Macaca fascicularis: one gene and its partners. The protein of the gene in region 1 purifies or fractionates together with the protein of each later gene. This does not show direct contact. Links are inferred from orthologs where the notes say so. Each region holds a gene or a part of one and is shown in the gene's direction. Other genes may lie near its edges. The genes, in order: DIS3L, HBS1L, EXOSC5, EXOSC7, GIGYF2, EXOSC8 and EXOSC6.

Region 1 (3,500 bases):
TCTTTGGAACCCAGTGCTGTTTGCCTCTTGTTTGATGCCTCTAATTGACCCACTTAACTCCTGGTGCTCAGCTGTGTTTTATTTTTTCCTTTTGTGCAGGACTTCAGGGTGGTCGTGCGCATCGATTCTTGGGAGTCAACATCTGTGTATCCAAATGGACATTTTGTGCGTGTTTTAGGAAGAATTGGAGATCTGGAAGGCGAAATTGCAACCATCCTGGTGGAAAACAGTATTTCAGTCATCCCTTTCTCAGAAGCTCAGGTCGGGTTTTCCAGAAACCTTTGGTCTAGTGACATTTTCTTTTTTCTTTTGTTGTTGTTTCATCATTAAGAAAGAAAAGTCGCTGTGTTATGTAACAACCCACTGTGTTAAGCTACAGATAATGGAAAAATCTCACTCCTCTTTATTCTATATTTGGACCAAACTGAAGTCAGCTTTAAGTGTAGAATTAGTTTTCTATAGCCTCATAGCTCTCAAATTTTTATATTTTCCAACTGGGCTTAAAAATGATATGTCAGTGTCTTATAGTCAGTATACATCCGTCCCCAGCAACTACAAGGACACCTAGTTACAGACCCAACTGAGCTCCACACTCTCTGTCTAAATCATTCAACCAGAGGCTGCATAAAGCTGCAGGGGGTGGATTCCTGGGATTCATACATCTCCGACCCATGGGTCAAAAATTATGCTCACGATGAAACAGTTTTTGTGAACCTTTACAGAAAACAAAAATCCCATAAATGTAAAACATCAGCTATTTCCATCACTTCATGATCTTTTAAAACCCTCATAAATCTTGTGTATTATTCTTGCATGACTATATTCATCATGTGCACACGCTGATTTCTGTTCTGCTTCTTTCACTTAAAATTATTTTTATATATTGACATAGCCTACTTATTTTAATGATAATGGTAAATTATGGTATATTGACATACCCTAGTTTGCTTAAGCATTTCTCAATTGTTGAGCATTCAGCTGTTTAATTTTTCAGTATTATAAAAAAATGTAGGTCGGGGGCGGTGGCTCACGCCTGTAATCCCAGCACTTTGGGAGGCCAAGGCGGGTGAATCACCAGGTCAGGAGTTTGAGACCAGCCTGGCCAATATGATGAAAACCTGTCTCTACTAAAAACACACAAAAAAATTAGCTGGGCATAGAGGTGGGCACCTGTAATCCCAGCTACTCGAGAGTCTGAGGCAGGAGAATTGCTTGAACCCCGGAGGCGGAGGTTGCAGTGAGCCGAGATCGCGCCACTGTGCTCCAGCCCCGGCGATAGAGTGAGGCTCCGTCAAAAAAAAAAAAAAAAAAAAAAAAAGTTACTTCGAACATTTTTATAAACACTGCTTTTAATTTCTTTTTTTTTTTTTTTAGATGGAGTGTTGCTCTGTCACCCAGGCTGGAGTGCAGTGGCAAGATCTCGGCTCACTGCAACCTCTGCCTCCCGGGTTCAAGCAATTCTCCTGCCTCAGCCTCCCGAGTAGCTGGGACTACAGGCGCACACCACCACACCTGGCTAATTTTTTGTATTTTTAGTAGAGGTGGGGTTTCACCGTGTTAACCAGGATGGTCTCGATCTCCTGACCTCGTGATCCGCCCACCTCAACCTCCCAAAGTGCTGGGATTACAGGCCTGAGCCACCACGCCTGGCCTGCTTTTTAATATCTTTTTGATCATTCTCTTGGAATGTAATCCTTAAAGTGAGATTACCAAGTCAAAGGGTATAAAAGATTTAAATAACTTCTTATATGTACTAGCAGATTGTTCTCCAGAAAATTTGGACCCATTTGCATTGCCATAAGGAGTGTCTGGGTGTTCTTATTTTCATTATAGTTTTTCACAGAATAGGAGCTATCATAGTAAACTATTGTAGAATATTTTACATCATTAAATTTTTATATTTAACATTAGTTTCTGGAAATTATTTGTTGACTTGTTTGGCAGCTCTTAGTGAAAATGTTACAATAAAATAAAGTGTGAGCTATACATCATAGGACTAGAATTTTCTCTTCCCTTTTAGCCTACTTAACTGCAAATTGATGGCTTAAACAGATAATAATGGAGAGAAAATGCCCTAGATAGGTCTTGTATAAAATTATCTTTAAGGGGTAAGCTTTTAATATTTGGAACATGTTGATTATTTTTTCAAGTCTTAAATTTAAAGCTTGACTACATTTAAACGAATGGATCATTTGAAAATGGGCTACATGTTGTACTCTTGTTCCAAGCCTCTGTAACTAAAGAGACTGGTAGAAGTTGTGGGACATTTTCTGTCCAAATGTAAGGGTCCTCAGGGGTATGGGACTTTGTCTTTCTTGTTGACTCCTGACTTTCCAGAGCCCAGCACAGTACCCCGGATATCTGAGGCACCTAATAAACAATTATTGATCGAAGGAAGCCGACATAGGTTGATGCAGAAGGTAATTGAGAATGAATGAATTTCTCTGTGGTCGCATTGAGAATATCAGTGAGTGGATTTTTACAGAAATGTGTGGTGCATGAATTGCTGAATATTTGACCTCTCATACAGATGTGTGAGATGCCGGTAAACACACCAGAAAATCCCTGGAAAGTGAGTCGTGAAGAGGAACAAAAACGTAAAGACTTGAGGAAAAGCCATCTCGTATTCAGCATTGACCCCAAAGGTTGTGAAGATGTGGATGACACACTCTCAATCAGAACCTTAAATAATGGCAACCTGGAACTTGGGGTCCACATCGCAGATGTAACACACTTTGTGGCACCAAATTCTTATATTGATATTGAAGCTAGAACAAGGTAATGCTATTTGAAATCAGCTCTATGGTTGTATATATGTGACTGTGTATTTTGTGTCTGTACTAGTTTCAGGTGTTCAAAGATCTCATGTTTGTGTAATTCTGAAAGTCCCTTCTGGAAAAAAAAAAAAAGTTGAGGTCCACTCCCCATTTTCGTTTAGAAAAACAGTACCTTGATCAATTTACCTTTCCTTTTAACATAACCTTTTCACATATTGTTTCCTACTAAACTGAAATGGGTTAAATTTTCATGTAGTAATATACTATTTTATAAAAATGCTGGATCATTACACTCCAATTTTTCTTATGCAACAAAGATTCACTGTCACTTGCTCTTTCTTTCTCTTATCAGTGGAAGACTATTCAGCCCAAAGCAGTATCACTTAGAAAAATGGGACCATGGGAATAGTTTTATTACCCAGTCTGCTGCACTTTATGAAACAGCAACTACCTTGGGGAATCTGTAGTGAGATTTTGGCCATTTACCTCCCTGCGGCCCACACAGTCAGCAGTTCTGCTTCTCCCTGCTGAAGGTCGCGGTGCCGCGTGTGTGTCATTCACAGGGCCACCACTTATTATCTAGCAGATCGTCGCTATGACATGCTGCCTTCCGTCCTCAGTGCTGATTTGTGTTCCCTTCTGGGAGGCGTTGATAGGTGAGTTTATGGCTTTTGTCTTCAAAGCTTGTCCTGGCCCTTCTGTGGCTCCCGATGCTGCCTGCTT
Region 2 (4,057 bases), on another chromosome or scaffold:
TAAATTTGGATTACTCTTATTTCTTTCTATTGTGCATAGCAAAAAGCTGAGTAAGCTTTTAATTATCTCTAGAATTTGACATTTGCCTTTGATGTGAAGTATCATCATTTCAAAAACACAAGCTAAAACTGAAGTGGTTTGTTCAGTATAATGAGGTTGGTTTCTTATATAACATTATTAACTTTATGTTCTAAGAAATGAGGACATTTAATAGTGGGTTATAGATTCATGCATCAACAACATTCATCATTACTACCTAAGGCCAGTGCTATGTCTAAAAACCTATATTTAATACAATGTTACACACAATTATGTGTTCAATGAATGTTCAGTGAATCCTTCTTTATGATGCTAATAAATATCGTTTATATAGCTAAAATCGTTTACATAGCTAAGGGCAAATCGTTGTTTACTGGAGATACTAATGCCGAACGGAGTGAATACATGAAGTTGTAAATTATATGAAAGCAGGGTGACCTATTATAGCCAGAGTCTCAATTTAATAATATATACCCGTTTAAAAATAGCCTTATTTCCTCCTCTAAAGCTTGGACTCTTTTTTTTTTTTTTAAGATAAGTTCTCACTTTGTCGCCCAGGCTGGAATGGAGAGGCCCGATCTCAGCTCACTGCAGCCTCGACTGCCCGGGCTCAGAGGATCCCCCCACCCCAGCCTCTTCAGTAGCTGGGACTATAGGTCTGCATCACGGGGCCGGCTAGTGTTTGTATTTTTTGTAGAGACGGAGTCTCGCTATGTTGCTCAGGCTGGTCTCAAACACCTGGGTTTAAGCGATCCGCCCTCCTGGGCGTCCCAAAGTGCTGAGATTACAAGCAGGAGCCACCGCACCGGCCTGGGCTAAATCTGCTACCAAGTTTACACAAGTTTGTTGAATGCCTACTGTGTGCCTAATTAAAGATCAAAGTTTGATAAGACAAGGTCCCTGCTCTTACTGAGCACATAGCTTTCTCAGGTTATCAGAAACCACATTTGTAAAATAATCCAGAACGCTGGCGTAAGTAGGTCAAGGTTCCCCGCTTGCAACATTTAGTCCAAACCAGTCAGTTCTAGGAGGCGCGATTTCCCCATCCCCCTCCGTCGCCCAACCTTTGGGTGGGGCCACGCCCAAAGGCTCCCTCCCCTCTTCCCGCCGTGCGCAGCAGTGCGCATGCGCCCTCAGGGAGTCGAACAGTGACCCCCCCCCCCCAGGCTTTGCCGTCGCGCGGTGCACAGATAAGACGTCGCGCTTGCGCAGGCGCTCGGCGCAGAGGCTTGCGGGAAACCAAGATGGCGCATGGGGGTTCTCCAGGGCGCAGTTGGCACCTTATCAGTATCTAAGCGGAGTGTTTTGGAAGGAGTTAAGGGGCTGTGGCAAACGCCCTCTCCGCCGTCATGGCCCGGCATCGGAATGTTCGAGGCTATAACTACGATGAAGGTAGGAGGCAGGGTCATGCCGGGACGTTCTTTTGCGGTTACAGCTGGGATCCTAGCCCGTTGGCATCTACTTCAATCTGTGAGTTTCTCGTCAGTGGTGCCCTGTCGGAATTGGGAGAGCCCAGTTGGGGAATATTACAGGCCTTCTAGTGCCGCCGAATGCCGTCGTTTTAAAGTCATGATTTCTGCCCTCTGGTGTTGATTTTGTTTGGGGAGGGAGAGGTGCTGAATAGCGTCATATGGGTAGGACATTGGTGAGGTTGGGATCCGGTGATATTTAGTCACGTAAGCATTATCACCTCTTCCATTGTTTCCTCCCATGTCGGGCACTCACGTGCCTGCTTCTAGCTCCTCTCTTTCAGACCCCCTTTGAGAAATGTCCTTGAAACGTTGCTTATTTGTAAAACACAGATTGACTTAATGCTTACATTCAACAGACCTGTACCTGTGCTAGATTTACACGGTAAATCTTTTCTGTGTGTCCATACATACTTAGTGCAGAACCAGTTTGCGCTAATTTATTTTTCAACAAATTTCAAAGTGGAATCTTAGGAGACAGTAGAAAAGACACATATTAAAAAGGCCCAAATAATGAGTCGATCAGATGATCGTGAAGTTTATACTCAGTTCTTGGCTGGTAATGCTTGATGTAAATGTATTTTGAAATGTAAATAAACGGCGGTACTAGAAGAAAGAGTGTATGGGAAAGGACTTTTTGATATTAAAAAATGAAATAAAAGAAAAATGTCTATATGAATGTTCTGTAGGAGTTAACAGGAGTTAGAATTATTTTTAGGAGGAGCACATCCCTCTTCATGCAGTAGATAACTATAGGCATCACCAAGCATCACATAAACTAAAAATATAAACAAGTATGAACTAATGCAGAAGAAGAATAAAGACCTATGCTTTGCAAAGTGCAGAACATGTAATGCTTAATATGTTGGTGATTGTCGTTGGCACCCCAGTAGATTATTATGGAACATCAGTGTGCTCTAACTAGAGTGAGGGCAGCTAACACCCTGTTCTCCATTTGGAACCTGTGACTTCAGTCCGTCTAGAACATGTGAATTTTCTGGTGGTTACTTTAGAATAGAGGCCCTTTTAAATAAGTATTGCAATGGATGGTGTTGCATGTGGACCATTGTCACCTAAGAAATGACTTTAGACTGAGAGATATTTTTGCAAATATAAAGTACATGAATAGGCCTAATTATTATTCGTTTCTTTAATAGTTGTTTATCATTTCCTCAACCACCATTAAGTTAGTGCTTAGAGTACTGTTCTAAGCTTTGAGGACTGACGGTAAGATATTTGAGGGTAGTCTAAAAGGAGAAGATTATACCAGTTACAGATTATTAGAGTATGAAAAATGCTACAAAAGGTACTGAGAAAACGCTATGGGAGGGATACACAGATGAGAACACTTAATTCAGAATGGATTGGGGGGAGTAAGCAGGATTTCTATGTGAAGGAATGCTTCATGGAGGAGAGGTGGTTGGCCTCAGGGAGCACCTTGGCTACTTAAGGTCAGGTTGTCATGTTTCTTTGGAACAATTGGTGACATCATAACCAAGCTGTTCCTGTAACATTAAGGAGGTTCATCCCCTTTTCTTGTTTATAAAAGTTGTACTCATTATCAAGGTCCAGTTTATTTCTCTTCTTCCCAGTTAGGCTTTCTCTTGAATTCTCAGAATAATAATTTAAAAATTCTCTTAAGTAATACAACCTCATTAGAGAGAGTGTGTGTTCTAAAACCTATTGGTTTCTCTACTTAACTCCCACTTTGTTTTTCTCTGTAATTTATTTATTTATTTATTTTTTTTTTTAATTTTTTTTTTTTGAGACGGAGTCTCGCTCTGTCGCCCAGGCTGGAGTGCAGTGGCCAGATCTCAGCTCACTGCAAGCTCCGCCTCCCGGGTTCCCGCCATTCTCCTGCCTCAGCCTCCCGAGTAGCTGGGACCACAGGCACCGCCACCTCGCTCGGCTAATTTTTTGTGTTTTTAGTAGAGACGGGGTTTCGCCGTGTTAGCCAGGATGGTCTCGATCTCCTGACCTTGTGATCCGCCCGTCTTGGCCTCCCAAAGTGCTGGGATTACAGGCTTGAGCCACCGCGCCCGGCCTTTCTCTGTAATTTATATAATACTTTACATGACTGCCTCAGTCACTGATTTAAAAGTCCCAGGAAAGCAAAATCCATACTTTAAGTGGCTGACATAGTGTTCTTTACATGTAGTAAATATTCCATAATTTTGTTGATTGAGGAAACAAACTACGAAGATTGCAGGAAAGAATTCTCTTCATCTTTTTATGTGGTGGCACTTTAGGGTCAATTTCAGCATTGACAAGCTGACTTAGTAAAAAAAGAGTCTCATTATGTTTTTTTTTTTAAGAGACGGGATCACACTTTGTTGGCCAAGCTGCGGTGTGAGTGCAGTGGCATGATCATAGCTCTCTGTAACCTCCAACTCCTGGGCTCAAGCAGTCCTCCTGCCTCAGCCTCCAGAGTAGCTAGGTCTATAGGCATGTGCCCCATGGCTGGTTGATTTTTTTTATTTTAGTAGAGACAGCATCTGGCTGTATTGCCCAGGCTGGACTCAAATTCCTGGGCCCAAGTGAGATCCTGC
Region 3 (3,500 bases), on another chromosome or scaffold:
AGATGAGTGTTCTTATGTTCGCATGTTTTAGGTGACAAAACTGAGGCCCAGAGAGGGGAAGGGGCTTGCCCAAGGTCACACAACTGGAAGGCCGCACAGGCGGGACTCAAGCCCAGGCCCGTCTGACTCCAGAGCCTGTGCCAATCACTTTTGTGTTTTTGGTTTTTTCTTTGTTTGTTTGTTTTTGAGACAGGCTCACTCTGTCGCCCAGGCTGGAGTGCAGTGGTGCAGTGTCAGCTTACTGCAACCTCTGCCTCCCGGGCTCAAGCGATTCCCATGCTTTAGCCTCCTGAGTAGCTGGAGTTACAGGTGCCCGCCATCACAGCAGGCTAATTTTTGTATTTTTAGTAGAGATGGGGTTTTGCCGTGTTGACCAGCCTGGTCTCGAACTCCTGACCTCAAGTGATCAGCCCACCTTGGCCGCCCAAAGTGCTGGGATTACAGGCGTGAGCTACTGTGCCCGGCTGGCAATCACTTCTACTCGGCACCTCAGTGGATTTCAGGCCCTCAGTGCTGGGGGCGCCCTGAGCAGACAGCGGCTGAGTCAGAAGCTTGGCCTTGAAAGATCTCCCTGTCTGAGGTGAGGGAGGTTGAGGTTGAGGACCAGAATTAGGCACTGTAGAAGGCTTTACTGGAACATGACCCTGAACTGGATAGACATTTTATGGATGGGCAGAGAGAGAAAGTATTGTGACCCCATTTTACAGAAGGGGAAAGTAAAGCCCAGAGGAAGTGGTGGAGGATCAGCAGCAGAACTGGAACCGGCTGACTCTAAAGCTGTGGCCTTTGTGTGGCCTGCTCCGCCTGGAGAAGACACACATGGAAACTGAGGCAGAGCCAGCTGACTCCCAACCTGTGCTGTCTTTCCACTTTGAGCTCCCTGCAGGCAGCAGCGCGATGGCTCTTCCTCCATTGCCCTGCCAGCTCTGTCACCGCAGAGTGGCTGCTACCCAAGTTTTGAGCCTGGCTTTGCCAGTGCCTCCCCCACGTGACTTTGGAAGGTTTCTTCCCTTCTCTGACCCTACTTGCCAACAAATGTGTGGTACGTACTTCAGTACATACCTGTTGAATATTATATTCCCCGTCTAACAGATGAGGAGATTGAGACTCTAAGTCATTTGTTCAAAGTCACACAGCTGAGAGAGCAAAACTGGGTCTGGAACCCAGGGCTACTTGATCCCCAGACCACTTTTAAGCACTCTTGCCATACTGCCCTTCTGTGACCGATTAGTGATGTCTGCCACAGGCATCAGCCTGGTCGGGGGAGGCATGGATCTGCTCTGCTGGCCAGGCCTACGGTAGAAACTTCTTAGGCTGGGCACAGTGGCTCATGCCTGTAATCCCAGCACTTTGGGAGGCCGAGGCAGGTGGATCACCTGAGGTCAGGAGTTTGAGACCAGCCTGGCCAACATGGTGATACCCCGTCTCTACTAAGAATACAAAGATTAGCCGGGTGTGGTGGTACATGCCTGTAATCCCAGCTACTCAGGGGGCTGAGGCAGAAGAATCGCTTGAACCCGGGAGGTGGAGATTGCAGTGAGCTGAGATCACACCATTGCACTGCAGGCTGGGCAACAAGAGCAAAACTCCATCTCCAAAAAAAAAAAAAAAAAAGAAACTTAACCATTGCCTGTGGTGCTCAGCTCCTGGCCTGTTGTCTGAATGCCGCCTGCATGGCATTGGTGGATGCAGGTGTGCCCATGCGGGCTCTCTTCTGTGGGGTCACCTGCGCCCTAGACTCTGATGGGACTCTCGTACTGGATCCTACATCCAAGCAAGAAAAGGTAGGTGTGAAGATTGGGGTGGCTGAAGGGCAGAGGCCAGACAGCTCCCCCTCCCTTCCTCCAGGCCTCACTTCTCTGCAGATAATAGGCTCATGCCACCTCGATCCCACTTAGCAAGGGCTGCTCTTATCGTCGTGGTTCATTTAGCAGCAAGTGCTAGAAACCCAGCTCAAACTTGCTTAATTAGAAAGGAAATGTGGGGCCGGGTGCGGTGGCTCACACCTGTAATCCCAGCACTTTGGAAGGCCGAGGTGGGCAGATCATCTGAGATCAGGAGTTCAAGACCAGCCTGACCAACATGGAGAAACCCCGTCTCTACTAAAAATACAAAATTAGCCAGGTGTGGTGTGGTGGTGCATGCCTGTAATCTCAGCTACTCAGGAGTCTGAGGCAGGAGAATCACCTGCATCCGGGAGGTGGAGGTTGTGGTGAGCCAAGATCGCGCCATTGCACTCCGGCCTGGGCAACAAGAGTGAAACTCCATCTCAAAATATAAATAAATAAACTAGAAAGGAAATGTATGTCCGGGTGTGGTGGCTTACACCTGTAATCCCAGCATTTTGGGAGTCTGAGGCGGGAGATCACCTGAGGCCAGGAGTTCGAGACCAGCCTGGCCGACATGGCGAAACCCCATCTCTACTAAAAATACAAAGGTTGGCTTGGCATGGTGGCACGTGCCTGTAATCCCAGCTACTCGGGAGGCTGAGGCATGAGAATCACTTGAACCCAAAGGGTGGAGGTTGCAGTGAGCTGAGATCGCGCCACTTCACTCCAGCCTGGGTGAAAGAGTGAAACTCCATCTCAAAAAAAAATAAAACCAGGACTTTAAACAGCATCAGGATGTCCTTGCTTCACTTCCCATCCCTGCCTTTCTCTCCACGTCAGCTTCATTCTCTCGGCCAGCATCTCTCCTGAGGCTGGGACTGACCCCTTACGTTCCATTTCCATCTTAAGAGGCTCAAAAGCAAACAAGAAGACAAGAGAGCTTTCCTCGTTGGCTCAGGTGCAGTGTCCTAAGCTCAGGTTATTCTGAGTTTTCTGCCCAGTGCTATAATGGTCCCCTCCAGTCAAGAAGACAGAAACCACTTGGAGAGTTTCAGATGGAGGGAGTTAAATGCAGGGACTTTGTAACAACAGTGTTGGAGGAGCTAGAGGAGGAAAAAGGAACCAGGAGTGACACCCAAAGATGAGAAACCCCTCCCAGACCTGGGCTGAACCTGTGAGCCAGCTCCTGCTCTGTCATGTTGGAGACATCATCTCAATTGGTTCTGCATGCACATAGCATGTCCTGCCTCTGCCCTGGCCACTGAGGTCCAGAACCCACCCCACCTCCATGGCTGTCACACAGCCACGGCCATCAGCGCCTGCCATTGTCAGTGAGGACCAGGGTGCTGCTCTTCTTCCATTCTCCCACCTCATTACTGCTGGAAACTAGCTGGTAAGGGAGTCTGGGACATACAGCTTGCTGGCTTCCAGCCCCTGTGGGGCAGAGCATGGAAGGGTGACTGGGAGGCCGAGAGGCACCAGATAAGTGAGTGGCACTGTGGCTAGCCCCTTGGGGCAGGAATACTAAGCTTGAAAGCCCCTGTCAGAACCGCGTGGTTGGAATAAGGGGCATGGAGTACAGTTCTACAAAGGAAAGGCAGAGGGCTATACCCGGGGAAATAGGGAAGGAGTGGTGTAGACAAAAAATGACTGCGCTTCATGCTTGATAGG
Region 4 (3,500 bases), on another chromosome or scaffold:
TTTCTATTGGGCTATCTTTTTTTTTTTTTTTTTTTTTTTTTTTGAGACGGAGTCTCGCTCTGCCGCCCAGGCTGGAGTGCAGTGGCCCGATCTCAGCTCACTGCAAGCTCCGCCTCCCGGGTTCACGCCATTCTCCTGCCTCAGCCTCCCGAGTAGCTGGGACTACAGGCGCCCACAACCGCGCCCGGCTAATTTTTTGTATTTTTAGTAGAGACGGGGTTTCACCGTGGTCTCGATCTCCTGACCTTGTGATCCGCCCGCCTCGGCCTCCCAAAGTGCTGGGATTACAGGCGTGAGCCACCGCGCCCGGCCGGGCTGTCTTTTTTAATAGGAATTCTTCATATAATCTGTCAGATAGTATTTTCTCCATCCAGATTACATTTTTAGTTTTTAAATAATGTCTTCTGATATAAAGAAGTTCATGATATATATTTATATAATATAAATGATATATGTTAGTAAATATATATAATATATATACACATATATAATTGAATATATAACTTTTTTCCCTTTGTGAATCCTGTTCAAGAAATAGTTATCTACTCCAAGGTCATGTAGATGTTTTTTTCTAAAAGTTTTATTGTCTTATCTTTCATTTTTATATCTATGGTCTATTTCATATGGCTTTGTGTGTGTGGTGTGAGGTAGGGATTGAGATTCTTTTTTTTTCCATTGGGATATCTGATTGACCCAGCATCATTTTCTAAAAGATGCCTTTCCTCATTGCATTGTGGTGCCTCCTGTGTGCTTTTGACAGGGATGACAGGGATGAGGATGATAAAGAATAGGCATAGTGTATCTTTCTCTTGTGAGACACAGGGATTCCAACTCCTATTCTCAATCTTAAAAAGAAGTTATTTTTTCTCCTCCCAGTAAGTGGGAATTTTAATTGTGCTTCTGCTTCCAGCATACCAAGAGTTCGAGTTCTGGAGGATGAAGAGGGGTCGAAGGACATCGAATTGTCTGATGACCCTTATGACTGCATACGACTAAGTGTGGAGAATGTCCCCTGTATTGTCACTCTGTGCAAGGTATAAGCTTGTGTTTTATGTTTTTTGTCTTCCCTGTGGGTGTGGGTCTCCTCCAATGCCAACCTGCTGAGGTTACTTAATAGGTTAAGAAGTTGTAATATCACATACCATATAGAAGTAGCTTTTACCCAAATCCAATAATTTGGTTATATTAGAAACCACTACCATGAGTAGCTCTTTCTTTTCTTTTTAATTGGAAGATACAATGTGATCCTTGGAGCCATGAGTGTGTTTGTAGTAATAGTAGCCAGAGTTTGTTAAGCTCCTTCCGCATACCGTGCACTTCACTAAAGCACCATGTCCTTTAATTCCCTCAACTCTATGGGGTCTAGGGTGGTTGAGTAGTGGAGGGTGGTGAACACTGTCCACCCTATGAAATGGGAGGTTGGAGCAGGTCTTGGGTATCAGGAGTGGTTTTCACATAGAGGGCTGTGGAGCTGAACAGAGGGCAGTGGAGCTGAATATCAGGGTGATGTGACATATAACTAATGCTGCTCCAGGCTGTGCAAAGAGGCCTGTATTGGCTATTGGCTGGGATTGTAGCTAATTCCACTCAGGATTCATTATCTCAAAATAAAGCTAAACAGGTCAGGTTTAATTCCACTGAGATCACTTCATGAACAGAATGTGGTGAAGTGTTCAGACAGCAGGATGTTGGGTCTTGGCTTCTTTCTTTTCTTTTTTTCTTTTTTTTTTTTTGTGACAGTCTTGCTGCAACACCCAGGCTGGAATGCGATAGTGTGATCTCGGTTCACTGCAACCTCTGCCTCTCAGGTTCAAGCAATTCTCCTGCCTCAGCCTCCCAAGTACCGGGATTACAGGCACGCACTATCATGCCTGGCTAATTTTTGTATTTTTAGTAGAGACGGTGTTTCACCGTGTTGACCAGGCTGGTCTCAAACTCCTGACCTTGGGTGATCCGCCCACCTCAGCCTCCCAAAGTGCCGGGATTACAGGCATGAGCCACCACACCTAGCCGGCTTGTTCTTTCTTGTTTATTTGTTTTGAAACAGGATCTTGCTCTGTTGCCCAGGCTGGAGTGCAGTAGCACAATCTAGGCTCACTGCAACCTCTGCTGCAACTCCCCCACCTGCCCAGGCTCAAGCTCAAGCAACCCTCCCACCTCAGCCTCCCAAGTAGCTGGTAGCACAGGCTCGCACCACCATATCTGGCTATTTTTTTGTATTTTTGGTGGAGATGGGGTCTTGCCCATGTTACCTGTGCTGGTCTCAAACTCCTGAGCTCAAGCAATCCATCTTCCTCAGCTTCCCAAAGTGCTGGGAGGCATGAGCCACTGCGCCCAGCCTTTGGCTTGTTCTTGAGTGTGTCCCTTAGCATGGACCCTCTTGATTTCCCTTGCCATCAGTGAAACGTCCATGTGGCTTTGTGTATTAATTTCTCCCTTGTGCCCCTCTGTTGGAAAGCCCTAGTGGCCTTTGCCTTGGATGGTCTCTGAATTCTAGTTTTAAACCCCCTTGCCCTGTTTTTCCATGTCATGTTTTTATTGTACCACCCACACAGTGGCCTGTGAGAATTGTTGAACATTCCTTTAACTATTTTCCTCATGAGCAGAATCTAAAATAAGACCTGGAATGACCAGTGCGGGTACTTTGCCTGGTGTAGAGATTCCCACCACGAGGCCATGAAGGGTGGGGCTCTGAGGCCTGCGTGACCCACTGTGTGCTGTGCGCCCTGCCTTTGCAGATTGGCTATCGGCATGTGGTGGATGCTACTCTTCAGGAGGAGGCCTGCTCGCTGGCCAGCTTGCTGGTATCGGTGACCAGCAAGGGAGTTGTGACGTGCATGAGGAAAGTGGGGAAGGGCAGCCTGGACCCAGAGAGCATCTTCGAGATGATGGAGGTGAGGCCCTGGTTCTGAGGAAGGTGCGGGGACCTGGCTTGGGTGCCTGCTGCTTCCTGCTCCCTTGGTCACACCATGGCGATTCTCCCCATTCACAGCCTTGACCCCAAACCTGGAGGTTGGAGAACAGCTGGTTTGAGCCAGGGGTCTGCTGACCTAATCAAGGGGGTTGCGGGGGTAGATACTCTGGACTGGGAGGTAAGGAGCCTACCAGTAACCATTTCTTATCCTCAGTAAGTGCCCCCATCTCATTTCTATGTGTCTAAATAAGACCGTTGGACTTGGATAATGTAAAGAGCCGCTCGTAACTCCAAAATCGCAGGCCTTTGTAACTTGATGAGGGAATAGAATTCTTGGCTCACTGCTTCCTGTCCCTTGAAGTGGGCGAGTAAAGATAGAAGCAGGGGCTGAAATGTGGCTGTCTGCCAAATTCATTACTGCTCTAGAAGTGTTTAAATGGAGACAAGCAGGGATGGTGAGAAATCCGACCCGCTGGAGTAGGAGTGGGTTGCCCCCATCACTGGCAGAGCCATCAGGGCACTTCCATAGTTTTCTGTACTGTTTGCCCCACATGTCTGTCACCTCACTGGCCTGGAAGCCCCGCAG
Region 5 (3,500 bases), on another chromosome or scaffold:
CCTTTACTTAGATTTTAATTTATTGGATCTGTTACATTGGTTCTCATTATTTATCTGCTTTTCAGATTTTAAAAAATCTGTTCTGTTTTCTTTGTCCTTATGGGTTTATGCTGTGTGTGTGTGTGTGTGTGTGTGTGTGTGTGTGTGTGTGTATAAATTGTCATTTTGGTGGAGGTTTTAGGAAGTAAACATGTGTTTTATTTCTATGCTTAACCAAAGGCCTACTTAATTTTTAAGAAGTAATTCTGGCCGGGTGCAGTGGCTCACGCCTGTAATCCCAGCACTTTGGGAGGCCAAGTTGGGTGGATTACGAGGTCAGGAGTTCGAGACCAGCCTGACCAACATGGTGAAACCCTGTCTCTACTAAAAATACAAAAATTAGCCAGGCATGGTGGCAGGTGCCTATAATCCCAACTACTCAGGAGGCCGAGGCAGGAGAATCACTTGAACCTGGGAAGTGGAGGTTACAGTGAGCTGAGATCGTGCCATTGCACTCCAGCCTGGGTGACAGAGTGAGGCCCTCTCTCCAAAATAAATAAATAAATAAAAAGGTAATTCTGAGGCCAGGCACGGTGGCTCATGCCTGTAATCCCAGCACTTTGGGAAGCCGAGGTGGGTGGATCGCTTGAGGCCAGGAGTTCAAGACCAGCCTGGCCAATACGGTGAAATCCCATCTCTACTAAAAATACAAAAAATTAACCGGGCATCGTAGCTTGAACCTGGGAGGCAGAGGTTGCAGTGGGCTGAGAGTGTGCCACTGCATTTCAGCCTGGGTGAAAGACTGAGACACCGTCTCAACAACAAAAAAAGAAGTAATTTTGCATTTGATGTTTTTATTCTCCTTTTTAATACTGTTAGCGATTTACATTTTTATTTGCAACAGCAGAATTTAATCCCATCAAGTTAATTTTATGTAGCTACTATGTGTTTGTATTCCATTTAGTATACTGGATATTTATAACTATTATCTAAAAACAAGAATCCTCAGCTAGGTTCTATTTTCATGCAACAGCAAAGGCGCCAGCAGAGGGAGTTGATGAAAGCTCTCCAGCAGCAGCAGCAGCAGCAACAGCAGAAACTGTCAGGTTGGGGGAATGTCAGCAAACCTTCAGGTACCACGAAATCTCTTCTGGAGATCCAGCAGGAAGAGGCCAGGCAAATGCAAAAGCAGCAGCAGCAGCAGCAGCAGCACCAGCAACCAAACAGAGCTCGTAACAATACGGTGTGTGCATTTTCCTAAGCTGTCGTTTTATGGACTAGTATTATCTTTTCTGACTGTCTTTTTATCTTTTTAACATGATTAACGATAATCATTTTTCTCTTTTTCTTTAACAGCATTCCAACCTGCACACCAGCATTGGGAATTCTGTTTGGGGCTCTATAAATACTGGTCCTCCTAACCAGTGGGCATCTGACCTAGTCAGTAGTATTTGGAGTAATGCTGACACTAAAAACTCCAACATGGGATTCTGGGATGATGCAGTTAAAGAGGTGGGACCTAGGAATTCAACAAATAAAAATAAAAACAACGCCAGTCTCAGGTAGGGCTCAAAATGACCACACCTATGCACCTTGGTTGGTTGGGAGGTGAGGATGGAGGAAGTTTGATGTTGGGTGGGCAGGAAAAGGTAGTTATTTAGTTTTTACTTACCGTTTTCATCTGTGTTCAAGCACATGCAGTCATAATTATGGTGATTGCTTTCTTCCCCATAGAAACATATTCGTATTATTTCTTGGGGCTCCTTCTGCTGAGCACTTATTCTATCGCCTAGCGCATGGTAACCACTTAATAAATATTAGGAATAGTATAATGTTTTTGTTGTGTTGTTGAACATTTCTCCAAGGTATTCTTTAGATACCTTAGCATTTTTCCTAAATTTGTATTTTTAAGTGATTCATACTATTAATATGAGTATTATAAAATACCTCTGTAATGACCTTAAACCTATTTATTTTTATAAGTTAGTTACATTTTCATCTTCATCTTTCTTTCCTCAGTATACAGTGTTGTTGAACGAGCATGGGTTTTAGTGTTAAATACATGAACTCAAATCCCAGCACTACCACTTATTAGCTGTGTGACCTTGGGCAAGAGGGAACCTCTTTGGGCCTCAGTTCCCTCATCGGTAAAATGAAGATAATAATAACAACTTTATGCATGTAATTGCAAAGATTAAATGAATACATGATAAGTAGTAAGTGCCTGGCACATAGTAACTACTTAATAAATGGTAGTGTTGTCAGATTGTTTCTTCTTGATTTAGGGCCTAACATATGAATATAGGACAATAAATTTTTGTTAGTTTATTGAGCATCTTTGCCAGGCACTGTGCTATAGGCCTTTTCATACAATATCTATTACTTATGATAACCCAAAAAAGTGTTAGTACCATTTTACAGATGAGGAGACTGAGGCTTAGTAAAATTAAACAACTTACCTAAGGACACATAGGAAGAATTTCATCCCTTTTTCTAAATAGATGCCCTTTATCCAGAAATTAAGATATATTAACTGAGACTAGATGTTAAGGGTATATCCAATCCAAATATTTGAATTTTTTTCTTTTTTGGAGCCAAGCATTGGATTACTGGACATCTATCCAATGTTGCCAAGACATTATTTATGGTGTTGTGCTATAATCATATAGTAACAGTTTCTGGGAATATAATATCGCCCTATTGTTTTGCTTTAGTAAATCTGTAGGTGTGTCTAACCGGCAGAATAAGAAAGTAGAAGAAGAAGAAAAGTTGCTGAAGCTCTTTCAGGGAGTAAATAAAGCCCAAGATGGATTTACCCAGTGGTGTGAACAGATGCTTCATGCCCTTAATACGGCAAATAACTTGGATGGTAAGAATTGGGGAGGGAAACCCGGCATGTGGAATGACAGAGCAGGACCCACAGAGAGGCTGGCAAATTTGAACAGTGGTCCAGAAGTCAAAAGATGAAATCTAAGGAGATCAACTCCTGCACCTGCCGTGGGAACTTGACTCTTTAATAGTATTACTTGTGAGAAAAGTTTAGTAATACTAAACTCAAATAGGTTATTGGTGGTTGTCAAAAATTAAATGCCATCTTAGACTGCCTTAATGATACACAGGACAGAGGAGGTCTTAGTTCCATACTGTTCATTTTATGGGGAACATTGCCAGCTATGTCAGGTTAAAAAAAAAGTAACTGTCATGCTGGAGACAAAGGTCAACCTGGACAGGTGATGGCTGAGGTGATGTGACATCATTCCCTTTCTACCTTTTGGGGAGGGAGTGGGAATTGTGATAAAGCAAGTACACTTATTTTGTGTGAGGTAAAACTAGGACCAACGTGCAGAAGTGAAAAGGCTTTGGCACAGTTTAGAGAAAAACTTGCTGATGGTTAGCTGTTTACAAACAGAACTGTCTCCCATCCCTGAATGTTTGAAGAGAGACTGGTCATGTCAGGATTCCCATAACTAACAGGCTGAGTTGATTAGTCCACCTCTGATACCCTGTCTAAAACCAAGAAA
Region 6 (4,070 bases), on another chromosome or scaffold:
CTCGTGCCCTCGGCGCCCAGTCGGTGGAGAGGCGCGCCAGGTTCCGTAGCAGGCCGCCAGGTTTAGCAAATATGCAAGATGTCTACTTAATTTGAATTTCAGACAAAAAAAACTAATCATGTTTTTAACAGCCTTATTAAGATAGTCACCATACAACTCATCCAGTTAAAGGTTTCTGGTTACACTAGTTTCTATAAATTGTGGTAAAATAAAACAAAAAGTTGCCATTTTAATCGTTTTTACAATAGTGAGTGGCATTAATTACATACACAATACTGTGCAACCATCACCACTATCTATCTGTAAAGTCTTCCCAGCTCCCTCCAGGTTCTGGCAACAACTAATTGCATGCTCTATTTGGGGCATACTCATGCTTAAAAAAAATGCTGTGTTTATCAGATATTCGAATTTAACTGTATTTTATCTGGTAACCCCGCCTAGGAAGGAGATGGCAGCCTTGAGCACTACACAGTCTACAACACAAGCTGATGCAGAGCAGAACGTGGTGGGACAATGAGCGCAAATAAAGTTCGGGTTTCTCGGCCGGGCGCGGTGGCTCACGCCTGTAATCCCAGCACTTTGGGAGGCCGAGACGGGCGGATCACGAGGTCAGGAGATCGAGATCATCCTGGCTGACACGGTGAAACCCGTCTCTACTAAAAATACAAAAAATGAGCCGGGCATGGTGGCGGGCGCCTGTAGTCCCAGCTACTCGGGAGGCTGAGGCAGGAGAATGGCGTGAACCCGGGAGGCGGAGCTTGCAGTGAGCCGAGATCCCGCCACTGCACTCCAGCCTGGGCGACAGAGCGAGACTCCGTCTCAAAAAAGAAAAAGAAAAAAAAAAAAAGTTCAGGTTTCTCATGTGCTGGAGCAAGGAGCCCTTGACCGTGAAGAGGCAAGGCCAGGGCTCAGCCTAAGTCACAGGCGGAAAAAAAATACGCAGAAACATTGGAATAACGCTCCACACGCACTGCTTAATTCTTCGCTGGAAACCCTGTTATCTCTGAACGGTTGGCCTTATTCTGAGTTACAGCACCAGTTTTTTAATAAAGACGGACACCGGCTCCTTCTTTAACAGCAGATTCGTCAAAATACGTCCAAGGCAAGGAAACTTAGAAGGGCGTCTGGGCAGGGGAAAGTCGATGCGAAGGCGGGCCAGGGACCTTTCGTCGCGTCCCCACCTTGGCGTTTCCTGTGGCGTGAGCGGCCCGGGCAACCGTGTCGAAAGTGCGGCGGCGGAACAGGCGCGCAAGCGAGGAGCGGCGCAGGCGCAGACGCGCGGGCGGGAAGATGGCGGCTGGGTTCAAGTGAGTGTTTTCAGGTGGCGGGTCGAGTTTTGTACCCAGGTGGACGGCAGCTTCCTTTAACTCTTAGCTGGGATTCTCTCACCCGGAGGGCGACCCCGTTGGGGTGCCATTTCCTTCCTCGTCGAAGCAGGCGACGAGTGGGAGGACCTGGAGGTGGTTATAGTGAAAAGAAAGGGCTTCTTCCCCCCAATGAAACGAGAGATGAAAGGACTCTATAGAGTTCCATGCCCGCTGCGAGCGCTCGTGAGCGTGGTGTGTAGTGAATGTTCAGTCCCAGGAGACATAGTTGTACTCTTTTAAAGATTGTGGCCGGGCGCGGTGGTTCACGCCTGTAATCCCAGCACTTTGGGAGGCCGAGGCGGGCGAATCACCTGAGGTCAGGAGTTAGAGACCAGCCTGATCTACATGGTGAAACCCAGTCCCTAATAAAAATGTAAAAATTAGCCGGGCATGGTGGTGGGCGCCTGTAATCCCAGCTACTCAGGAGGCTGAGGCAGGAGAATCGCTTGAACTCGGGAGGCAGAGTTTGTAGTGAGCCGAGATCGCGCCACTGCACTCCAGCCTGGGCGACAGACTGAGACTCTGTCTCAGTCAGTCAGTCAATCAAGATTGTTGCATCAGAGCCACATACCGCCTGCTTCTCCCTCTCCCGTCATTTATTTCTAAAAGGATCATGCCTTGTTTGGAAGGTTTTATTGTGTGTGAAGCCAATGGACTTTCTTAAAGTTTCTAAAAAATGGATAAATAGGATTCCAAAGGAAATCCATTATGTTGAAATAGTTATCTCTAAGTATAAACTCCGAAGACATGATATAGTAGTATATATACTTGCTTTAAAATTAACCTTCTTAAACAAGATCTAGTGGCGAGACTAGTAGTAACTGCTGGGATTTCAAAGTAACAGTGAGCCTGAACATACCTTATATAGCTATAGGGTACAAATGAAGACATCTGTGGTCTCTGTGGTTGTTAAAGTTGCAGGTACTGCTAATGTTACTATGGTTTATTGCCTACAGTCATAATTGAAGAATATGCTAAATTTCAGTTACAGTGAAAATAAAGATGTACCTTTTTTGTTTCCTGAGTTATCTAGTAAGATATTCATGATCACTAGGATCCTTGTTTCAGAGCAAGAATGACAAGATTCTTTTGACACCTAGATTAATCCGCTTTTAAAGAGCTCACGCAAAGGGCTTTTAGACGCCAATCTTCTAATCGTTAATGGCAGAGTTAAGGACAGCAATTGAATGTGATTGCTACTGCAAGGATTTTTACTTTCTAGAATTACTTTTAGTTAAAAGTTGTGGAGATGTATGCTGCATCACAACACTCAAGATCTTTGCCAATTTCTGGATTTATGTTAAGATTCATCAGTTTATCTCAGATATATTTTTAACACGTGTTTCAGAACTGTGGAACCTCTGGAGTATTACAGGAGATTTCTGGTGAGTAAAAAGTTATGTACATGTTTTGCCTTTTGATAACAATGGGCTGCTTTTAAAGATACATTTCAAGTAATTTAATCCATTTGAAGTAACATTTAATGTGTTTCCCCTGGTGTGTGTAAAACTTGGGATAGATGTGTAAAATATGTAATAGGTATAATCTATTTTTATATAAACATTTATTTAGAAAGAGAACTGCCGTCCTGATGGAAGAGAACTTGGTGAATTCAGAACCACAACTGTCAACATAGGTAAGGATGTATTTTCCATTGTCAACTGTATGATATTCCCAAGTTTTAGTCTCTGAACCACCTAAACAGTTTTTCAGCCAAATTCTCTTTTTCTAAAGAATTTGATGATTTTTTGTGTGAAGAGATTTTTATCTGTACAAAAGCCCTGTAACTGAATGAAAAATGATTAACACAAATTCAAGGACAGGTGAATAATTATTTAAACACTAATTTAAAATAGTTATGTAAAAATCAATTATTCTAACGAAATATTCATAAGCAACTGAGAGGGGTAGCAAGATAATCATACACAGCAAGCTAAAACACTTAATTTTAATGATTATGTAGATAATTTTGTAGCTGTTTTCCTTTCATGCACTTTTCACTTTGCTTATCTTTTCAGGTTCAATTAGTACCGCAGATGGTTCTGCTTTAGTGAAGTTGGGAAATACTACAGTGATCTGTGGAGTTAAAGCGGTAACTCTAAATATGTCCTATTGAGATTTGAGTTACAAAGTTAGCTTTCTTTATTAGATTGTAATATACACCTATAATTCCACTCTTGATTTGACAGTTGGGTGTCAGTTTTTAATATTTAATTTCCCAAGAGCTTTCACTATGAGTGTTAAATAATATGACCCAAGTTTAATGACTGAACATTTGTCAAATGTACCAAAATGAAACAACTTTAAAAATCTTAGCCACCCTTAATTTTTAAAACATTTGGTTATATCATTTGAGAAATTAACAGATTTTTGGTGACATCCTTTTAGCCAGTGATGACATGTAATCTGTGTAAATGTGTGGAAAATTGAAATTGTTGAAAAGAAAAATTTGAGGGAATAATGGCTACCATTTACTGAGTACCTGCTATGTTCCAGACACCTTTTTAGGCACTTTACAGAATAATCCACTTTAATCCCTACAACAATCATTTGTTATTTTTCTCCACCTCCTGTTTTATAGATGAGGTTCAGTAACCTCTCCAGGTACATAAGACTCATAAGTAAAACTTGAGACATAAATCTGACTCCAAAGCCTGTGCTTCTTTCACTACAATACACCCTGTGTTATTTAACACTTAGTTG
Region 7 (4,171 bases), on another chromosome or scaffold:
CACGGTGGACAACGAGGCTGGCAAGATCACTTGCCTGTGTCAAGTCCCTCAGGTCAGAACCACCTTGCACCAGTGGGAAGTGTTGGGTCTTAAGCTTGTTTGCTGAGGCCTGTGTGTGTACAACCTGCATTTAAAAGAGCCTGTCTCCTGCCTGCCTGTTGGTCACCTTTGCCAGTACCCCTTACCTAGGCCTCCTCATTGGTTGCATCTGTCTGGTTGATACTTGGCTTTGCCACTCTGTCCTGTCCTGGCAGGGGCCATGACTGCCCCCTGCACTAGCCGTAAAGTCTGTCTCGGCCTCCAGCAGTATCACCCAGGGCAAAGGAGTGGGTGATGGCTCCTCCCTCAATCCCATTTTCTGTCCTGACTTCCCCCTTCCCTTTCTTTCTTCTAGAATGCAGCCAATCGGGGCTTAAAAGCCAGCGAGTGGGTACAGCAGGTGTCAGGCCTGATGGACGGTAAAGGTGGGGGCAAGGATGTGTCTGCACAGGCCACAGGCAAAAACATTGGCTGCCTGCAGGAGGCGCTGCAGCTGGCCACTTCCTTCGCCCAGCTGCGCCTCGGGGATGTAAAGAACTGAGCGGGGGAGGAGGTGGCTTCTACTGGCTCCATCTGTCCAGCCGGGAGCTCTTCATCTGCTACAAGAACATTTGAATCCTGGGACCTTTTGAGAGCCCCTCCTACCCCGGCCGTACCTGGAACACCCTCACGAGCAGTCCTGTGACTCAGCGCCCCTTATACTTCTGCCCTGAGCCCTCCACATCAGTGCCATCTGTCGAGAACCACTACCCCCGCATTGCTGTTGATCACCACACTCGCATCTGTAGATAACAGCTCTCCAGCCTGAGCTTTCCGTGTCAGCAAGGACGAATCGTTTTTTGCTGCAGAGAATAAAAGGACCACGTGCAATACTTAATGCTATATGATCTCTATCCCTCTTCCCAGGTGGAGCTCGCTGTTTTGACAGCCCTTGGCCCCTGCTGTCTGTAGAATAAATGCTGTGGCTTCTACTGGCTGCTGTAGTGTTCACCTAGTCCAGCCCCAGAACCCTAAATTTTGGGAAAAGCCCCTGGGGTTGCCTCAAACGTTTGTGGAGGTTGAGGCCAAATAGGTAGGGTGACATGGAGCAAGGCGTTCATAATTCAGTAGATGGGGTTAGTGGAAGCAGAGAAGCCTTGGAGCTGCTCTCCCGCTGCCTTCCAGCAGGAGGGATGGATCAGGCAGCCCTGCACAAGTGGGACCAGGGCGCCAGGGACGCCGGCCGTTCTCCCTCCGAGCCTCCAGCAGGCGCTGTAGCGTCGCCCGTCACTCTCCCGACAGCCCTCACGCAGGCGCGCGTCTTTAAGCAACGGAAGAACCAGTGGGTGCGGCAGTGCGTTGGGCGGAAGCGGCTCTCAAGCCAGGAGCCGCCATGCCCGGGGACCACCGCCGCATCCGCGGCCCTGAAGAGTCGCAGCCGCCGCAGCTGTACGCGGCCGACGAGGAGGAGGCGCCCGCCGCCCGCGACCCAACGCGACTGCGGCCCGTGTACGCGCGCGCCGGGCTGCTGAGCCAGGCCAAAGGCTCGGCCTACCTGGAGGCGGGAGGCACAAAGGTGCTGTGTGCAGTGTCGGGCCCGCGACAGGCCGAGGGAGGCGAGCGCGGCGGCGGCCCGGCCGGATCTGGCGGCGAAGCCCCGGCCGCGCTGCGCGGTCGCCTGCTGTGCGACTTCCGCCGCGCGCCCTTCGCGGGCCGCCGGCGCCGCGCTCCCCCGGGCGGCGGCGAGGAGCGTGAGCTGGCGCTGGCGCTGCAGGAGGCACTGGAGCCGGCCGTGCGCCTGGGCCGCTACCCGCGCGCGCAGCTCGAGGTGTCGGCGTTGCTGCTGGAGGACGGCGGCTCGGCCCTGGCCGCCGCGCTCACCGCCGCCGCGCTCGCCCTGGCCGACGCGGGCGTTGAGATGTACGATCTGGTGGTGGGCTGTGGCCTGAGCCTCGCGCCGGGGCCCGCGCCCACTTGGCTGCTGGACCCCACGCGACTAGAGGAAGAGCGCGCCGCCGCGGGCCTCACCGTGGCGCTCATGCCTGTGCTGAATCAGGTGGCCGGGCTGCTGGGCAGCGGCGAGGGCGGCCTGATCGAGAGCTGGGCGGAGGCCGTACGCCTGGGGCTCGAGGGCTGCCAGCGCCTCTACCCCGTGCTGCAGCAGAGCCTGGTGCGGGCGGCGCGCCGCAGGGGCGCCGCCGCCCAGCCCTGAACTAGAAGCCTGAGCAACGACGGACGCAAGCCGAGGACCGTGCTGCCGCCGTCCCTGAAAAGACCCGCGCCGTCGGCCTCCAGCCTGCGTCGAGGTAAGCAGCCGGAGCCCTGGAGAGCACCTGGGTAGGCTCTAGCAGAGCCAAGGCGCCGGACAGCTGTGGTGTTGGAAAGGGTTTTTACAAACCTCGTTAAAGGAACTTTACTTGAGCCGGCTCTTAGCTTCGACCCAGTTGAGGAAACCTGTGAGCGCATCCTGACTCCCAAGTTGGAAACTTTAGCTGGACTTACCTGGAAGCTGGTACCTAGAGCTGCTGTCATTCAGGCCAGCCAGTGACCCCCTCCGATATAACTGGGCGACTTTTCAGAGGATGGACAAGACGACTGTGCCTTCTGTGTCTGAGCCAAAAGAAAGACCCTTTTATATTTGAAAAACGTCTTATGGTGTGGTTCTTCTTGGTCCGGGATTTAAGAGAGCAAGGCTCTTTTGTTCTTGCATCCCAGGTGTCAAGGGTCGCGGCGGCATTGCCTTAAACGGGTTCTGTTCCTTAGGCCCACGTGAACAGGAGACGGGCTGAAAAGAGCTGCAGAGCCTGAGGGGAGCGCTGTGATTTGGAGAAGCAGCTGCCCCCACATGAACCAGAGTTAGGGGAACTGCTGAGATACGACGAGAGTAGGGAGAGTTGGCCGGGCCGGCGGCTCACACCTGTAATCCCAGCACTTTGGGAGGCCAAGGCAGGGAGATCACCTGAGGTCGGAAGTTCGAGATCAGCCTGACCAACATGGAGAAACCCCGTCTCTACTAAAAATACAAAATTAGCCAGCACTAATAATGGTGGCATATGCCTGTAATCTTAGCTACTCGGGAGGCTGAGGCAGGAGAATCGCTTGAACCCGGGAGGTGGAGGTTGCGGTGAGTGGAGATCGCACCATTGCACTCCAGCCTGGGCAACAAGAGCAAGACTCCGTCTGAGGAAAAAAAGTACGGCCCCAGAAGTGCGCTGAGTGCACCTCGTGCCCCAACCTGGCTTGGTGCTGGGTAGCTGAAAAGGGTTTTGCTCTGCGTAGAAGCCATCTGTCCTTGGCCATGTGCAGAATGGCACAACCCGAGCCTCCACTGCTGGTGAGAAGTGGCACCCTGGTCCTACAAGGAAGACCCTGAGCAGCACCGCAGAGGGCAGGTGCACTGCTAGGAAGGCCAGGTACAACCTGACTGACTCACCACGAGGTGGGGTCTTTCCTGTGTCGCTACCAGCTCTGCTGGTTTGGGCTCAAGACTGCATGGTAGGAAGCTAGGTGACTGCCATTTGGAAGGCGGCCTGGTCCCCTCTCTGCACTCAGCTTCTCTAGGAAGGGCCGACCTGGGTCAGCCCAAGGACCAGAATGAGTTTCTGGGGCCACACCCAGAACCCCTGACCAGGAAAAATACAAATTTTATTTTTTCCCTTCTGACATAACGTGTCTTTCTAGAGCAGGTCTGAAATAGTATCACACCAGTGGGGAGAGGACATAATGTAATTCTGAAGGGTGACTTCCTAGAGTAGATGGGGAGTCTGGAGCCCAAAGAGGGCTGTGTGGGGTACACACTGAGAACATTCCAGCAGTTTCAGGGAGATTGGAAACTCAGGGAGATCTGCTGGCTATCTGTTGACTGGCGGTGTATCGGGAGGGGAGTGAAGATCAGCTGTGTCTGCATTCAGACAAGGCTGAGGGTGCCCTCTGAGGGGAGGGGAGGGGAGGGGAGGGGTGGGGTGGGGTGGGGGGTGGGGGTGGGGGTGGGGGTGGGGTGGGGATGGGCTGTCATCTGCCCCTTGCAAGAGAGCCTCAGCTTCATGAGGATGGCGACCTGGTGCAGTCCCAGGCCACCTCCTAACCGTGTCAGTCCCAGGACCATCATCTCGAAATGCAACCTCTAAAGAAGCTAAACCCACCACTACAGGTT

What was found.
Region 2: the proteins of DIS3L (region 1) and HBS1L purify together in Homo sapiens (affinity purification with mass spectrometry; 5 studies listed by BioGRID and IntAct, with this or other methods). This does not show direct contact. The link is inferred for Macaca fascicularis from reciprocal best matches to the Homo sapiens genes DIS3L and HBS1L.
Region 3: the proteins of DIS3L (region 1) and EXOSC5 purify together in Homo sapiens (affinity purification with mass spectrometry; 5 studies listed by BioGRID and IntAct, with this or other methods). This does not show direct contact. The link is inferred for Macaca fascicularis from reciprocal best matches to the Homo sapiens genes DIS3L and EXOSC5.
Region 4: the proteins of DIS3L (region 1) and EXOSC7 purify together in Homo sapiens (affinity purification with mass spectrometry; 3 studies listed by BioGRID and IntAct, counting the BioPlex papers as one, with this or other methods). This does not show direct contact. The link is inferred for Macaca fascicularis from reciprocal best matches to the Homo sapiens genes DIS3L and EXOSC7.
Region 5: the proteins of DIS3L (region 1) and GIGYF2 purify together in Homo sapiens (affinity purification with mass spectrometry; 3 studies listed by BioGRID and IntAct, with this or other methods). This does not show direct contact. The link is inferred for Macaca fascicularis from reciprocal best matches to the Homo sapiens genes DIS3L and GIGYF2.
Region 6: the proteins of DIS3L (region 1) and EXOSC8 purify together in Homo sapiens (affinity purification with mass spectrometry; 4 studies listed by BioGRID and IntAct, counting the BioPlex papers as one, with this or other methods). This does not show direct contact. The link is inferred for Macaca fascicularis from reciprocal best matches to the Homo sapiens genes DIS3L and EXOSC8.
Region 7: the proteins of DIS3L (region 1) and EXOSC6 purify together in Homo sapiens (affinity purification with mass spectrometry; 3 studies listed by BioGRID and IntAct, with this or other methods). This does not show direct contact. The link is inferred for Macaca fascicularis from reciprocal best matches to the Homo sapiens genes DIS3L and EXOSC6.

What each region holds. Positions count from the first base shown.
Region 1 is NC_088381.1:42,977,862-42,981,361, forward strand, and holds part of DIS3L (DIS3-like exonuclease 1), read left to right. Parts: intron 1-99; coding exon 100-261; intron 262-2,337; exon of another isoform or gene 2,338-2,411; coding exon of another isoform or gene 2,412-2,420; intron 2,421-2,530; coding exon 2,531-2,778; intron 2,779-3,129; exon of another isoform or gene 3,130-3,340; coding exon 3,341-3,433; intron 3,434-3,500. UniProt on the Homo sapiens protein: Catalytic component of the RNA exosome complex which has 3'->5' exoribonuclease activity and participates in a multitude of cellular RNA processing and degradation events.
Region 2 is NC_088378.1:39,077,030-39,081,086, reverse strand, and holds the start of HBS1L (HBS1-like protein), read left to right. Parts: upstream 1-1,257; 5' UTR 1,258-1,388; coding exon 1,389-1,431; intron 1,432-4,057. UniProt on the Homo sapiens protein: GTPase component of the Pelota-HBS1L complex, a complex that recognizes stalled ribosomes and triggers the No-Go Decay (NGD) pathway.
Region 3 is NC_088393.1:48,530,784-48,534,283, reverse strand, and holds part of EXOSC5 (exosome complex component RRP46), read left to right. Parts: intron 1-1,643; coding exon 1,644-1,784; intron 1,785-3,499; coding exon 3,500-3,500. UniProt on the Homo sapiens protein: Non-catalytic component of the RNA exosome complex which has 3'->5' exoribonuclease activity and participates in a multitude of cellular RNA processing and degradation events.
Region 4 is NC_088376.1:107,902,752-107,906,251, forward strand, and holds part of EXOSC7 (exosome complex component RRP42), read left to right. Parts: intron 1-910; coding exon 911-1,034; intron 1,035-2,738; coding exon 2,739-2,894; intron 2,895-3,500. UniProt on the Homo sapiens protein: Non-catalytic component of the RNA exosome complex which has 3'->5' exoribonuclease activity and participates in a multitude of cellular RNA processing and degradation events.
Region 5 is NC_088386.1:128,766,799-128,770,298, forward strand, and holds part of GIGYF2 (GRB10-interacting GYF protein 2), read left to right. Parts: intron 1-1,012; coding exon 1,013-1,222; intron 1,223-1,335; coding exon 1,336-1,541; intron 1,542-2,693; coding exon 2,694-2,848; intron 2,849-3,500. UniProt on the Homo sapiens protein: Key component of the 4EHP-GYF2 complex, a multiprotein complex that acts as a repressor of translation initiation. In the 4EHP-GYF2 complex, acts as a factor that bridges EIF4E2 to ZFP36/TTP, linking translation repression with mRNA decay.
Region 6 is NC_088391.1:16,546,591-16,550,660, forward strand, and holds the start of EXOSC8 (exosome complex component RRP43), read left to right. Parts: upstream 1-1,270; 5' UTR 1,271-1,290; coding exon 1,291-1,307; intron 1,308-2,715; coding exon 2,716-2,752; intron 2,753-2,939; coding exon 2,940-3,003; intron 3,004-3,385; coding exon 3,386-3,459; intron 3,460-4,070. UniProt on the Homo sapiens protein: Non-catalytic component of the RNA exosome complex which has 3'->5' exoribonuclease activity and participates in a multitude of cellular RNA processing and degradation events.
Region 7 is NC_088394.1:70,113,775-70,117,945, forward strand, and holds EXOSC6 (exosome complex component MTR3), read left to right. Parts: upstream 1-1,371; 5' UTR 1,372-1,411; coding exon 1,412-2,230; 3' UTR 2,231-3,681; downstream 3,682-4,171. Other genes in the region: AARS1 (alanine--tRNA ligase, cytoplasmic), read left to right, coding at 1-52, 395-580. UniProt on the Homo sapiens protein: Non-catalytic component of the RNA exosome complex which has 3'->5' exoribonuclease activity and participates in a multitude of cellular RNA processing and degradation events.